Drosophila melanogaster: one gene and its partners. The protein of the gene in region 2 interacts with the protein of the main gene of each other region in a pairwise test. Each region holds a gene or a part of one and is shown on either strand. Other genes may lie near its edges.

The links.
Region 1: the proteins of CG13005 (region 2) and CG13526 interact in a two-hybrid assay, tested with the Drosophila melanogaster proteins (one large-scale study listed by BioGRID).
Region 3: the proteins of CG13005 (region 2) and scu interact in a two-hybrid assay, tested with the Drosophila melanogaster proteins (one large-scale study listed by BioGRID).
Region 4: the proteins of CG13005 (region 2) and Elba3 interact in a two-hybrid assay, tested with the Drosophila melanogaster proteins (one large-scale study listed by BioGRID).

The regions. Positions count from the first base shown.
Region 1 is NT_033778.4:22,753,576-22,756,396, reverse strand, and holds CG13526 (uncharacterized protein), read right to left. Parts: upstream 1,179-2,821; 5' UTR 1,073-1,178; coding exon 608-1,072; 3' UTR 501-607; downstream 1-500.
Region 2 is NC_004354.4:16,801,915-16,806,331, reverse strand, and holds CG13005 (uncharacterized protein), read right to left. Parts: upstream 2,683-4,417; 5' UTR 2,573-2,682; coding exon 2,340-2,572; intron 2,262-2,339; coding exon 1,052-2,261; 3' UTR 578-1,051; downstream 1-577. Other genes in the region: ppk28 (pickpocket 28), read right to left, coding at 1-25; Rai1 (Rat1 interacting protein 1), read left to right, coding at 3,081-3,775, 3,863-4,295.
Region 3 is NC_004354.4:18,089,378-18,093,438, reverse strand, and holds scu (scully), read right to left. Parts: upstream 2,181-4,061; 5' UTR 2,058-2,180; coding exon 2,049-2,057; intron 1,885-2,048; exon of another isoform or gene 1,785-1,884; intron 1,488-1,784; coding exon 729-1,487; 3' UTR 586-728; downstream 1-585. Other genes in the region: Swt1 RNA endoribonuclease, read left to right, coding at 3,017-3,122, 3,202-3,456, 3,515-4,061. UniProt on the Drosophila melanogaster protein: Mitochondrial dehydrogenase involved in pathways of fatty acid, and steroid metabolism.
Region 4 is NT_033779.5:4,685,542-4,689,471, reverse strand, and holds Elba3 (early boundary activity 3), read right to left. Parts: upstream 1,962-3,930; 5' UTR 1,824-1,961; coding exon 684-1,823; 3' UTR 516-683; downstream 1-515. Other genes in the region: CG3251 (uncharacterized protein), read left to right, coding at 1-412; CG11929 (uncharacterized protein), read right to left, coding at 2,367-3,930. UniProt on the Drosophila melanogaster protein: The heterotrimeric Elba complex is required for chromatin domain boundary function during early embryogenesis.

The DNA of each region.
Region 1 (2,821 bases), on a different chromosome or scaffold from region 2:
CGTTCCTTCTGGATAAGCTCCTTCTTCATCTTCTAGCTCTTCCCCTACTGTGAGCCCCGCCTGCAGCGCCCAGCCAACTGGCAGCTGACTTGTTTACACAACACTTTGCATGTGTGTTTGTGTGTGCGGCCATTGCACATGTGTCCATGTCCATGTCCTGCAGGGGGAGTGGCAGGGGCGGTGGCGAAAGGATGGCAAAGTCAGCAAGCAAAGCTCTGGCGGCTTAATGGACGAAACGTGCTGTTGAATTAATTTCTGGCTTTATGCTCTCAATTTTTTCCTTCCGTTTTCCATTCAGCCGCCTTCGTTTTTTCTGCCAGCAGGCAGAAATATATGTACGTCTATGTATTGAATTTCAATTTTTAAGTACTTCAAACATTAAGCCCTACTAAAAACAAAATAAAGAACATTTTAAATAAAAAAAAAACCATTATAAAATTAAACGAAAATTCATAAACACTGACTGGCTTTTTACACAAAAATTAAATATATTAATAATTATGAAAACAATAATTTTTATTATAATCTACAATAGATTTGTGAGATACATTTTTGTTTGTTTGCTTACTCTGTATGAAAAATGTTCAATTTTGCTTGCTGTCTCAGCTCAAATGGGGCTGTGCATAAAGCCTACGAAATCGCGCAAGCTTATGCGACCATCGCCATCCATATCGACTGCTTGGCAGATATCCTTAATATCGTCATCGGTTACGACTTCGCCCAGGACGACCATAATGGCACGAACATCCTGGACGGTGACGTAGCCGTCGCGATCGCGGTCAATCATGTTAAAGGTCCGGCATAGACTTTTATCACTATCCACATTGGCCATTCGGGGCGCCATCATGCGTATAAATTTTTTCAAGTCCAGCCTCTCCTCGTCTCTCACAGCCACCGAATGGATGAGATCGTACAACTCTGCCTCAGTGATTTCGTAACCCACTGATATTAGAGCCAGTCGCACCTCGTTGGCTGATAATGTGCCATTCGAGTCCAGATCATACTTTTCAAAGGCATCCCTCAGTTCGTCGATATGCTCATTCGTCAGCTCATTGCCGGAAAAAGAAGGCATGGCACTAGCAAATAAAACCCTAAAGTAGTTCAGGAAAATCAGGAATACAAAAAAAAAAAGGAGAAATGGGGAAAAACCGATGTGTATGAAAACTGACAATCAACTCAACTCAACCGAACTCAAACTCTGTTCTCGATGGCTAATAAAACACTTAGGCAAGCAATTGTTGTTGTTGCGGTCACAAACTTTTCCGGAATAATAATGCATCATATACTCGTACAAGGGGCAATAAAGGGAAAAAATAAGGAAAGCAGAGATGCTGAAGCATGCAACGTTTGGAGAACCATCCATCAATTTGTCAATTCAGCGCTTGCCTTTGAGTGGCCGTCCATGGGACAGGAATGATGTTAGATGACGATGATGATGATGATGGGCAGTAGTTGTGCTGTGGAGTGCTGGCCATAAAAAATCAAGCGGGCATATAAATTGAAAGGATGCTCTTGTACTAGCTGAAAGGATTTTTTGTAATCCCTGTCCAGTTTCAAGTAATTATATTGAATAAATGCTATCATAGTTGGACTTTTAAATTTCAACCATACTGTGAAATATTTTTGAGAAAATCCTAATTAAGACTGCTGTAATTTCAGCAAATAAGAAAACATTTATTTAACCACACCTTCTGTCTAATGCTTCTACCTCCGCCTCCTCAAATCCCTACAATCGCAGGGGACGCGAAGCCACTGACTTGTCAGGGATTTCTAGGCTTAGAAATAAGTTTTCCGACAGCCCATTTGATTCATTCAACTTTGAGGCCTGCTCTTGTTGCGTTCATTCCCCCAAAGACTTTGAGCCGGATGATAAGCAAATGAAATGTTGTCGCCGTCCCACATGACGAATGATTAATGACACGAATGATACATTTCTCCCGGGGGCAAAAACCACGCGCCACGGCCAGTCAAAAGTTTAAACCCAACTTTAACCATGGCAGGCACTTTTTCACTCGGTGTCACGGTGCCTGGCTGCAAATTTCGCTAGTCAGAGCTTAGTGGGGGATACTGTTTGCAAAGTGACTGAGTCCGGAGTCTTCTTCTGCTACATTAGCCTACTTCCTCCGCTCCACAAGCAACAGCCCACTCAGGATTCCTCTGATGCTGCAACAACTTGTGCTTGTGTATTTGCTTAAGCCGAGCTCGCTTTCCTGTTTCCTTCCGCTGCCTTTCCACTTTTCCACATTCCCACCGCTTCCATGAAAAGGGGGTGGGGGCGCAATGGCGAAGGGGCGCTGGGGCGGGGTCTCAGGAAAATTGATTTTGAAATAGTTGGTCTGCCTTTTTAAATTTGATTGACGTTATTACATTACATAACATCGCACACTAAGAGGAAAGGCGAAGCAGCTGGCTTAAGTTATTCATCCATTTAGCCCCACTTAGGGGCGGGGGATGGTGGTGGTTGGCAGCTAGGGGCGGCGGGTGATTGTGACGGGCAACAACAAGTGGAAAACTGTCATTATATTTGAGTTATTGATGGTTTTTTTTTTTCAAAATCATTTTGCAACAATGTTGCTGCTACCCAACCGCACCGACACACTCACACACACACCAACACACTTTAGTCACACGCTGACAGGATCTACTCCCCCTCAACCGCCACCCCCTTACCCTTCCGCACACACACACACACACTGTTACATTTACGCTTAGTTAAACGCATGGCTGTGGCTTGTTAACGCCGACAAGCGCAAAAGTTTGCCGTTCGCCAAATGCTTGCGATAATCGACAAGCTCTCACATACTCAACCGAATGCACTCAA
Region 2 (4,417 bases):
GCCTGCTTTCCGTCAACGTCCTCATAATGCACTACGTCCGCACTTCTTTGAATCTCCGCTATTTATAGGTCACTTTCTGACTGCACTTTTAGGTGCAATTCCATGGCGGTCATCAGCTTTAATCATATTGAACCAAGGCAAACACGGTCGTCCATTTGCAGTGATAACTGCCAAATTGATTTTAGCCACCCCCTTGCCATCCTCCACGTATTTTGAAAATCAAGTGGATGGCCAGAAAATATGATTACATCGTGGCAAATAAACTTTACACCTGAAAGTAAACATAGATACACGCACGCTTTTCAATAAAGATATTCTAGATATTGTAATACACACAGGTATTGAAAGGGATTTATTTAAGCAGCAGCTTTGTACTAAAAGCAATAATAATTTTTCACAGAAATTTACCATTTAGCTGAACGCCATTAAAATTGCGATCAATTTAATTGACTTGCAGTAAACACAAATGAAAAGTATGAAAAGCTGCTAGAAACCACAAGCATATATACATTAAACTAAATTGGCCAGGATTTTTATTCACTTCCAAATGTTCCAGCAAATAATAACGCAACAATTTCAAAAATCAAGGAAGATAAATTCATTTAATAGGCATCTTTCGTTAGCCAGTTAAGTACTTCATAAATAATCTCCATCCGCATGCGGCATTTTTGCCACTCAACCATTTACATTTGCGTACTAATTGCATAGATTTTTGGCTGGAGGTTATATGAGGTTACTTTTCAAATTATACAATTTCAATATTAATATTCAGTAAAAATTCAAAATACAATACCAAAATGTATCTAAGAGATCCCTATTTCTATATTTACATACTCCATTAATACATTTTAATCTACTTAGAAAAGTTCGTTTCAATTTTCAGAGACTTTCTTCATGCAATATGCACGATAAATAAAATAAATGTTTTAAACTTTCATATTTTAGAACCTTTTCAGTGTTCAAGTTAAAAAGTAGTTGAAATACCTTTCACTCTATCATAGAATTCTTCATCTCCATTGCTAGCTAAGCGCTTTCTATACATTTGTCCCTTCTAATTCGGATTGAACTGGAAGAAGTCCACGTTGAGATCGAGAATAGCCTCTGTGTTGGGCGTTTCCTTCATGGTCAGGGCCTCCACGGCATTATCGCTGGCATGATCGTAGCCATGGTTCACAGTCGGAGGAGCAGTTGCCACTGGCGGCTGCATAAGATCGCTGACGTTTCTAAGCAGACTCTCCTCGGAAGGCGGATGAAGTTGACCGCCCGCCGATAGATTGAGACGCTGTGCAGCCTCGTCTGTGAGCGGATCGTCCAGCGACATGCTCAACTCTGCGTAGACCACCAGATTGCGGGCTCCTTCACTACCGCTGCCGGCAACCAAGGCCGCTCCCTCTGATTCCGGCATCGGTGCCAGCGGCGACTCCATGGCGGACATATCCAACGCATACTGACCCTCGGGTATGCCCAAAACTCGTGCAATTCGTGCATTTACAAAATGCAGTCCAGAGGTATTCCGTATAAGCCGTTGGCTGCGCAATTGCAGCTGCTCCACAAAGTCGTTAAGTTCGTTAAGAAAGAGATCAGAGCGCTGTTCCTCGCTGAGATGGGAATGCCGCTGCAGTTGGGCGGTCAGAAGGCCGAACAGCGACGGCGTGGAGGGAGGATGAACCGTTGATGGTACTGTAGCTACAGCTACAGGTGGTGTCTGCTCGCCCGGACGCGGCATGTGCTCTGGGAATTTGACAAAGTGACGCTGCAGACGGCGTCCCAAAAAGATCTTTCCACAGCCGGGACAAACGGCATTTTTGGGCACGGCTCGTTGGATGGTTGTCGTTGTGGTCGGTTCCTGGCTTATACTGACGCTGCTGCTGACACTCGTGCTTTTCGGCGCTGCCATGGGTGCCCGGTAGTCCTTGTCCCGCAAGTCGGCCACCAGCATCTCAAGCATGCGGGCAGAACTTGGCTCAACCGCTGAGCCACTGGTCACGGGAGCGGGCTGTGGCATCAAGCTGCGCACCTGGCGACCGGATCTAGTGCGATGGGTGTCGGGAGCAGGTTTTTGCTCCGCTAGTGTTGGTTTCTTCGCCACAGGAGCGGTGGCAACCGAACAGGCTCTTTTCGATGGTCTACCCACTTTGGCAGGCGGATTCTGGGCATTTTTCTCTATCGCCGGGCGAATCCCCATGACGGCGGGATCCGGACAGCGGTAAATCGTTAATTGTTGCGTAGCCGCATCTGTGCGAATCACCTGATGGCGCTTTCTGCACAGGAATAAAAGATCACGGAACGTGATCAGAGAAGGTGAATGAAAGCTCCAAAAAATAGGGATTACTACCCACCGATCGATGACTATGTGATCGTTTTTGGACAGCTTGTGCAGACTGCAGGCCAGCTGGCCCAGAGTATCCTTAACGCGTAGCAAATCGCCTCCTGCAGCCGGCAAATCTTCGTCGGGCACGGAATTCTCTGCAGGATTCTTGGCGGCCTCCTGTCGATCCTGTACACCACCGGTCTTATCCGGCAGCACCTGCAGCTCGGCCAGGACCGAGGGATCCTCCAGGAGATGCTTCATTGGCCAGCCACGTTTGGTGGTTACAAATAAACATAAAAACAAATCTATGAACAAAACCGAATCGGATTTCGTGTTATTTTGGTATTTAGTATATTCTTAGATTCCCATGACTGTGGTCACACAAATTGTTTGATTTAAGCTTGCAAATACCTCGTGGTGAATAGACGTGCTCAAACAGAACATAAAGCAAATCTAAGAGTCAAAATTTTTTCTCTTCATCGAGGTACTATCATCATTAGCGTTCACTTATTACATTAAAATTAATAAGCACATCATCATCCCATTTTTAATACAATTTAGCTTTCGATACTAATCGCCTACACTTGATTCTCACCACAACCATTTCCCAAGGTCTTAGCCCATTTAGTTGCGCAGTGGAGAAAGAAAATAATCGATGATTCCTCGAAAAACATCGATGTTTGCGATTTTTCTCCACCTCTAATAAATATTAGCGTTATTTTCCGGATAATTATAGTTTGAACTTGGAAAATCCGCGGAGGCGAAGGAAATGGCCGAGAACGCGGGCTTCATCAGTGTGCCCTGGGGGCAGCACAAGCTGGGCGCGATGTACAATACGCCGTTTCCCTCGATAAGCCGCCCGAAGTGCATCGGTGTGTGCAGCATAAACGCTAGCCGGGAATTTGTGGACGACGCCAGCTGCGCCAGCTACTTGGCTGGCCAACCGTGGCCACCGCTGCCGTTCGATCTTAACGGGGGTATAGAGGATGTGATCCGTAAGCCCGTCGAGAACGGCAAACGGGATCTGGAAATTATGCTGACCTACATTAAGCAACACCAGAAGGAGCTGCTCCGTCAGAGTAGCTCCGATGCGAGAAATCTACGCCTGGACAGCGACTTTGTAACACTGCGCGGTATTTTGCGGCAGATAATGTGCCTGCAGTATGATAATCGCTCATTCCGCGTCAAGGCGACGCTCCTGAACGGCAACGTCTACATGTGCAAGGAGGAAACCCCAGAGCAGCAGCTGGAGAACGCGAACATGAGCAGGGCACAGCGGGTCATGTGCTCCTGGGGCTTCAAGTTCGAGCAGTACCTGACCAGTGCCCAGGCGCAGGGAAAACCGGTGACCAATGTGCCGGTCAACGAGGCAGAGGAGTTCATGGGCGTGTACCGCACGAACCTGGCCGGGATTTTGATGCTATACGGCGCCGAACTGGACTGTGTGGACAGCAAGGAGCCAGTGTGAGTGGTCCAGGGTTTAAATACTTATGAATGATTAATGTTCCATCCATTCATTATTTGTGTATACACTTACACGAATCCCATTAGTGACTTCAAAGATTGCAGAGTGCTCGACTCATTGAAATTCGTAGAGCTAAAGACCAGCGTCTTCAATATGAACCCTCACCAAATTCGCACCTTCAAATCGTTCAAGTCTGCCAACTGGTGGAGTCAGTCATTCCTGGTGGGCATCACTACGCTCTACGTGGGACTCCGCGACACCAAGGGCATGCTGCAGAGGATCGATGAGATCGATGTGGCAACACTGGCCCGCAACAAACCGTGGAGTGCATCGGCAATGGCTTGGTACCTGGAACAGTTTCTGCGCAATCTTAAGAAGCTGCTGGTGAACATTAACGATCCGTTTGCGGTGGTCCAGGTGACTTTTTTAAATAAGCACGCCAGCTACGAAGTGCTGCGCGGTCCGGAACATCAAATCCTGCCCAACTGGTATCGAGATTTGCTCAAAACGCGCTCCTAAGGCAATGCATAACATTTTCTAAACAACAGCAAGTCTGATTTTATAATGGGAATTAATCGTTTCTTTTTGTAATGCTTCCCGTACGATAACTACAACTTAGAACTACTGAATTGAGTGCATTA
Region 3 (4,061 bases), 1.3 Mb from region 2:
GACTGCTCTAGCTATCGCTGTATAGACAGTCCAGCACAGTGTCCATTTCGTTCTTCTTCACTTAAAATGCATCCTCATTGACCACCAGTGCATCATCTCCTGCCGGGGATTCCTTCCACTTAAATTGCTCTGCGTCTTGTGTTCCCAAGCGATCCGTTTGCTGGACAGGGGGTACATTCTCCTGATCCCCGCCAGCTGCCCTACGAAGTTCCCGGCTCAGCAGCGCTGATATGGCATTATCTTCTGAAGAGCGATTTTCAAATGTTCGTTGTTTACATTTTGAAACGGAACTGCCAACTTGCGGGAACAACAGGGAAATCTTAAGGGCTAGCGACTTAGAAATACCCTTTTATTCAATAAATATTTAAGCTCAGACCAACTTTGTAAATATGATAGTAAACTATTTTCTTATTATAAATACATGGTTGCTTAAGAATTAATTGCACAAATAGTAAGTCAGTAATAAAATTGACTTACAAAAAATTAATCCACCTGTTGCAACGACCTGTGCAGCCAATACACCCCAGCTATCCCTTATATATAACCAGTGTTGAAGAACAGCAGGCAGACGCGCCTCCAAAATTTGAAATGTGACATTGTGTGTTTAATAGCAATTATTACATAATTTCGGGACAGATAATAAAACTTTTCAGCTTAACCACTAGACAATAGATAAATGCAAACTGATCGAGCCACTTCCACAGGTCCAAGACAGTGCTCAGCCGGATCTAGGGCATCATGCGCAGAGCACCGTCGATACGGATGACCTCGCCGTTGAGCAGCGGATTCTCGTAGATGGCCTGCACCAGGTGGGCGTACTCACTGGGCTCGCCCAGGCGCTGCGGGAACGGTATGGACTTGGCCAGGAAGGTGCGCACCTTCTCCGGCAGGGCGGCCAGCATAGGCGTGTTGAACAAACCCGGTGCAATGGTGCAGATACGTATGCCCTGGGTGCTCAAGTCACGGGCAATGGGCAGGGTCATGCCCACCACGGCTGCCTTGGAGGCGGAGTAGGCCGCCTGGCCGATCTGGCCATCAAAGGCAGCCACCGAGGCGGTGTTCACGATCACGCCGCGCTGTCCATCCTGATTGGGCTCATTGGCGCCCATCAGTCCGGCGGACAGACGGATCACATTGAACGTGCCCACGGTATTGATGTTGATCACCCGCTGGAAGTCTTCCAGGCGGTGCGCCACGTTCTTGTTGAAGTTGAACGTCTTTACCGCGGTGGCTGTGCCCGCACAGTTCACAGTCAGATCCAGACGACCGAACTTATCCTTGGCCGTCTGCAGAGCGGCGCTCACATCCTTCTCGGAGGTCACGTCCACGGGCACGAAGACCACCTTGTCGCCCAGCTCCTTGGCCACCTCGTTGCCCTTGGAGGAGGGCAGATCGGCCAGGATCACGCTGGCGCCCTGCTTGGCCAGGCGCTCGGCGGTGGCGCGGCCCAGTCCAGAGGCTCCTCCGGTCACCAGGGAAACGGCGTTCTGGGGGTGGGAAAGGCATGGGGTTAGAAACTATATATATATGTATATATCCAAGGAAATAGATTCTAAAAATGCACTCCATTCCATTTCATCCCAACTACAACATCAATGTTTAGAGATCTTAACAGAATAAGCATATAGAATGCAAAATATACGATCTGTAGGACTGAGATCCTTATCTTTAACAACATTGAGAAGTTGTCCGTTAAAGTTAGTATAGAAATAGCACGATCCTCAATTTGCAGATAAACTTATAATCCGATGCCGGTTTATCTTATTATTTCGAAAGCAGCTGACCGATGCGTTCGGTGTCCAGTTTCCCGATAAGCCGCATTGTATTATTGTATAACTCGGTGGGGAAGTAATGCTAATTGTTGGCTGGGTACAAGGTACATCGCTGTGGGCAGAGATACAGTTATTTATGGGACTCCATGTTTATAATAGACACGAGTTCACATCCCAATTGGACTTTGCACCCCGGCCGCGCAGTCATCGGCCGCTTTTGCTGCACTAATTCCCGTCTAATCGCAGTGTGATCCTTATTTACAGCACCCCACGTACCTTGATCATTGTTCTGGCTGGTGGCGTTGTGTTGTGGGTGCGAAAGGCGGTGGTTACTTAGTGCTCGGCAAAGCTTTTTAAGCAAAAACTTGTTAAGCGATTCGAAACCGTGCAGTGTGACCGTATGTGCGCCGCTTGAAAATACTGCCTACCGGTTAGGGGGCTCCTATCATTGGCTTAGCTTTTAAATTTTGAGTTTTTTTTTAAATTTAAATTTAAATCAATTTGTTTATTACCAAGCAATTAATTTGCAAGATTTTGAAAGAACTTTTAAATATAAATTACCTCGAGCAGGCAAACAGTGAAGATTTTATTTGGCAAGCTAACTAACTTGGCAACTTATTATTTCAAGAACATGTTTTTGCAACAATTAAGGTGGCAGCATTCAAGTCTTTATAAATGAAATCTTTAGCTATTCAAATTCAATGGCTTAAAACAACTTATGCTATAGATTATTACAGTAAATTTTAGTTATAAGCTATTCATTGTATGAATTCGTATTTAGCTTCCACGCCAAAATGTATGCCGTAGAATTACATATACTCATTTAATTTATTTTATGGTTTATAACTTAAATTAATTTGAACATAAACATTTATGCTTTAAATAAAAACAAAACATTGTTTCTGTTTAATTTAAGATTATTTTCATTTTTAATATTTCTTATTACTTCACTTAATAAATAATAATTAAAAAAAAATATTGCTTATATAAATAAGGAGTATTTTAAATAAATCATAACAAAGTTATATCCGAATTTAATTTATACCCCCAATTTATATACTTTTGTCCTCCGATGTATGGAAGAACATCGATGATTCCTCGAAAAACATCGATGCTTGTGATTGTTTGAAAAGATCGATGATATCGATGATGTCATCGATGTTTCTCCACCTCTAAGTCAGATTGCCTATTGAAATACAAAATAAATGAGTACTTCCTAGAAATCAAATGTTAAAGAACACAATATGTCGCTCGGTGGAGAAAGTAAGCACACGCCAAAGTCTTCCAATCTGAGGCCGTTGGACGACGACCAGCTGGTTAGGATCATCAGCACGCCACGTCCGTCAAATGGTAAAACCCATGCAAACTGCGCGTTTGCCAGAATGCCAGAACCAAGATTCAACTCCACTTTTCCACGCAATATGGCAAGGAGTGAGCCAGCATCCCGCCCAGGACCGCCTCAAGCGCCTGCAGGGCCAACTAAAGCGGGTGCAGGACAACGAGAAGGAGCAGGGGACCACCAAGCGGATCACCCACAGTTCCTCCGCATCTCGTCGATCAAGTGCGTCCACATCTACGCCCCAGCGACTCCTGAAGTTTCCGCCTAAGGTGGCGATGAATGCCTGGGAAAAGCCAAAAGCCCTGGTCGATGCCAATCGCCTGAAGGCGGGACGTACCCAAACTGGTGAGTGCCCGGTGCATATAGTTACTCATATCCCATGTTCTCCTTATCGTCTCCCTAGCCTACCAGCGTCTCATGCTGTTAAGAGCTTCGCTGCAGCAGAAGCAGCTATATGAGGAGCGCAACAACAATATTGTGGCCAAGATCAACGAAGAGGTGATAGAAAAACAACCAGAAGCCTGCAACATCACAAATCCAAGTGCATTTGATGGCTCGACGGCCAGCGATATGGAGGTCGAGCCCATGGAATGGCAGGAGTCTATTGAAGAGGAGGCGGCACAGAATGATCAGGATGAGGCTAAGAAAGGGGACGACACTCTATTGATGCTGCCGGCGGAGTCCATTGAAGAGGAGGCGCCACAGAAAGGTCAGGATGAGGCTAAGGAAGAGGACGACACTATATTGATGCTGCAGGCGGCCGATGCCGAGGAGCTGCCCCCAAGGCTTGAGGATTACATGTACTTTGTGCTGGACACCAACGTCCTCATACACAACCACAAGTTCGTGGAGAGACTGACCGATGTGGTGCTGCCGGGCACGGTGGGCAGCATGCTGTACCTTCCGTACATAGTAATCAAAGAGCTGGACAAGCTAAAGAGCAAGTACCA
Region 4 (3,930 bases), on a different chromosome or scaffold from region 2:
AGATGAATTCAAGGCCTGGGACTTTGCTCGCAAGCGGCCCCAACGTCTCCACAATAGCCAAATGGGGAGACAGTCGGTACAAGGTGATCAGCAAGGATTCGTCCCTGACCCGATGCCTGGTACGGCTCCCTCGATGCCACCACCACCGGTGGCCGATCCTCGTCCGGTTAACGTAACAGCACAGCAGCCACCTGTTTTCGGGCCCTCTAGATGGATGGAACCCACCCGGCCGTTGATGCCTAATCCTTTGATGATACATCAGACAGGATCGTTCGTTTTCGTCCAACAACCACGAGTTGGTCCGCCGTCGGTCATGATGCACGTTTTGATAATTGTACACAACGCACCATACATGCTTGCGTTTGATCATGCCCCCCACCCGCCTGCACCCCAGTGCACTGCCCCATTTTAATATATTTTTTTCTTGTTTTTACAAATATGTCAATTTAAATATTTATATTTAACATGTTTAACATGTCGAAAATCAGAATAAAACGTGAAAAACAGAAATATTTATACGTTTATCATTTGCAGATCTTTATATATTTATTCAAATTACCTAAACATATAGTTTACAATTAGTATTTAATTCTAGCCTAATAATATTTACCATTTAAGTTTTAAACTTTCAACGAAACTTAGTAGACTATATATGTATAAAGAAAATGTGATGTGTTTGCCAACTAATGAAGTTCGTCTCCGGATGTGACCTCCACTACCGATCGCACCTCTCCGGACAAACGACTCTGCAGATTCTTGTTGATATTGTCCACCATGTCGAAGGCATCTATGATCATTTGGGCCTCGCCCTGCGCCTTTTCGCTCATCTGTTCCAGACTTTTTCGCAACTCCCTGTGCTCTCCAGTAGTGTCCCGCTGCTCCGCCTTCTGATACAAGCTGGTTCGCGAGAAGAGGGCGGTGGACGTCATGTGATCGGGGTGCTTCTCCAGTTCTTCGGGCAGTGGAAAGTCAATATCAAAAGAGAATCGTTGCAACTCCTCATACTTCGCGTCCTGGACCTCTTTGTCCTGGCCATAGCTGATGACCACCGCCTGGAGGACGATGTCGCTACCAGGAAGTTGCATGTAGGCAATAACGTCCTTAAAGAGATTCTCTTTCCTCCACACGGTTTGTCTGTACTGCACCACCTGGTATACCACCATCTCCGGTTCGGGACTGTATTGCACCAGCATCCAAGTGTCATCATTCATGGCCTCCGGTTCAGCTTCCAAATTATCATCGAAGGCGAGATCAAAGCTTCGCGCTTTCAGGTGCAGTAGTATCTTTTCCATATAATCACGACTTTCGTAGGCATATAGGATGTGGGCAATGCAGCCGGGAGCCAACCTCACCAGAGGATTACCCTTCAGCTCGGGCTTGGTGCTCAGCAGCATTACATTGTTTGGAGAAACAAGTTTCTGGATGAGGCGCTCGCCCGCCTTTTCATTCTCGGTGTACTGGACCAACAGTTGCTGGCCGCCGGCATCTTCCCTCTCCTCCTTGCTCATGGACAGCAATGCTGCATCCACCAGGCGCCTCTCATCCGCTGCCAGTATGAGTTTCGCCTCCAGCACCATTCCATTGACCCGGAATTCTACGAATCGGGTCATGTATTTGTCTGAAACATCTGACTCTAGGAGTTCCATCGAATGGAGAACGCAGAGACGGCGTCGACCATTTGGCTTCCCATCCTTCATCAAGCCGTCATCGACTTCGGCCAGGAACCAGGATAACCGAGTCGCTGCCAATGGTCCATTGGCGCTGACAACGGCTCCACTGTTCGCGGAGTCATCCAATCCACTGTCGTTGCTGATGTTGCTCATGATGGCGGATGTGTTTTAAATATGTTCGGAAAAGATTTGAACAAAGTTTTAATTGATATAATTGGCTTGGCTTTGGTTCTTTTCTACGCGTCTTGTTTGAATGTCTTGATAGGTGAAGAGTTCTTGGCAAACTGATGAACTCCTCCTCGCTGCAAGCTATTTTATAGATGTAAATGGGTTTAGTTAAATGGTTCTACCTGCCGTAAACTCCATACTTTTATCTAGGCTTTCTAATGTCTAACATCTGTCAGTTCGAAGGGATTAAAACTTGGTCCGGCTCATACTGGGATCTAATGTTCTAATTGTGTATTACCTGCGAAGGACGCTGATTGAGCGGATTTTCCCAATGTGCAGCTGCTTAGTGGCAATAAATGCGAATTGCAAGTTTGCGACATTTCTACATAGGAAAATAATTTAATAAAATAAGACAATATATTTTCATAAAAAAAAATTCTAGAAAAATGTTGTTACAAAGTCTTAAGGGAAATTTAAATGGTATGAAAGCTAAAGTGCATTATGGCTATCGAACCCATATGATGAATCCTATTCATCATCTTGAACGTCATTACACTGGCCAGAAATAATGCGTAGGAATAAACTGGATGTCTTGGCCACATCGCTCAAATCCTTAGAAGAAAAATTGTCAACCAAGCTACTAGTGACCGCTCCTCGGCCAGTTAGTTCTCGATTTCCCATTTTGAGGGCATTGGTCACGGAGAAGAAGCGGGACGCTTGTCCAGCGGGCAGACCGAGCACACGAGTGCAAAATTCGACGACCCTTTCCTTGTCGGCACTTCCATCTGGTGCAATCTCACCGCCGCACTGCCGACGGCAAAGTTCGTCCAGTGGACAGTCCCTGGGATCGTACTGCCTGTTTTTGTCCAGCTCACAGAACGTGGGAATGTCCTCGAATAATCCTATCCCGATAGCTTGGTTGATGGCCCTCCCACTTCCCAGAATGCAGCCTAGGTCCTTGCCGGTTGCCATCTCACGCACCTTGATGTGGTAGACATTATCCTCTTGACGCAGTATGGTAAGGACCACGTCATCGAAGGGCCGCTGCCCAATTAGCCGAAATATTTCATCCATCAAGGAATCCAGAATGGGCAGACTGCCATCGCCACAGTATTGACAACCACGTGGCGGGTTATTCATCCGCTGGGTGTTCCTAAAAATTGCACTTGGTTTAGATTCTCCTTCTAGTTGACAGGAACCCCTACGTCCGTTCGCATCCAATTCCATATCCGACGTCTTAAGTTCCGATTTCAGTGCAGTGGATTTAATATTATGAGGAGTTTTCGAACAATTGAAGCTGGTCATCGGATTGGCACCCAAAATGGTTTTCTTCTCTGATATGCTCACTTTTTTGGGTCTGTCCTCCTCGAGGCTGTTGGATCTCGTAAACATTTTTACGAATTCCGGCAGTAAGCGATCGAATGAGTAGGACTCTGATTGGGCATTCTGCGCCTGATTATTTTCACACGACTTGGATTTTGTGAAATGACTAATAAGCTGTTCAATAAAGGATTTGTATAATTCCTTCTCTACACTTTTATTGGATTGTTCGGAACTCTTTGCCTCCAAGCAAGATGTGGAGGAAACCTTTGATTTGGGTTTTTTAACAATTTCACCCAGTAAGTTTTCAACCCCATGTTCAGTATCATTTTGTTTCGTGGGATTTGCAGAGAAAGCTGAAGTATTTCTAGACTTGTCGGAAAGTGTTTCTTCGCTTTTTGTTTTAGCAAAAACCCGATTAAATTGTTCTAGAAAATTTTCGGTATCTTTTAAGCATTGTTTAGCAGTTGGGAATTGGTCACCTTTCAGATGCATTTCATATCCATTCGCCTTACAACATCTCCGATTGTCTTTGCTAGAACTTCCATTACATTCTCTACTGCATTGTAGACCAGTTGAGTTTTCCGAGTTTATTGGGGTATCTGTGGTGCGTTGAGAATTATTTGATTTCTGCTTTTCTTGAGCAGTTTCAGGCTTCAAAAATATTTGAATAAATTCTTTGGATAGCGTTTTGCACTCGCAATTAGCTGTATCTTTTTTTTGTGTAGCCTGATCAACATTTTCAGGTTTTCTTGGCAATTTTCGCTCCTCG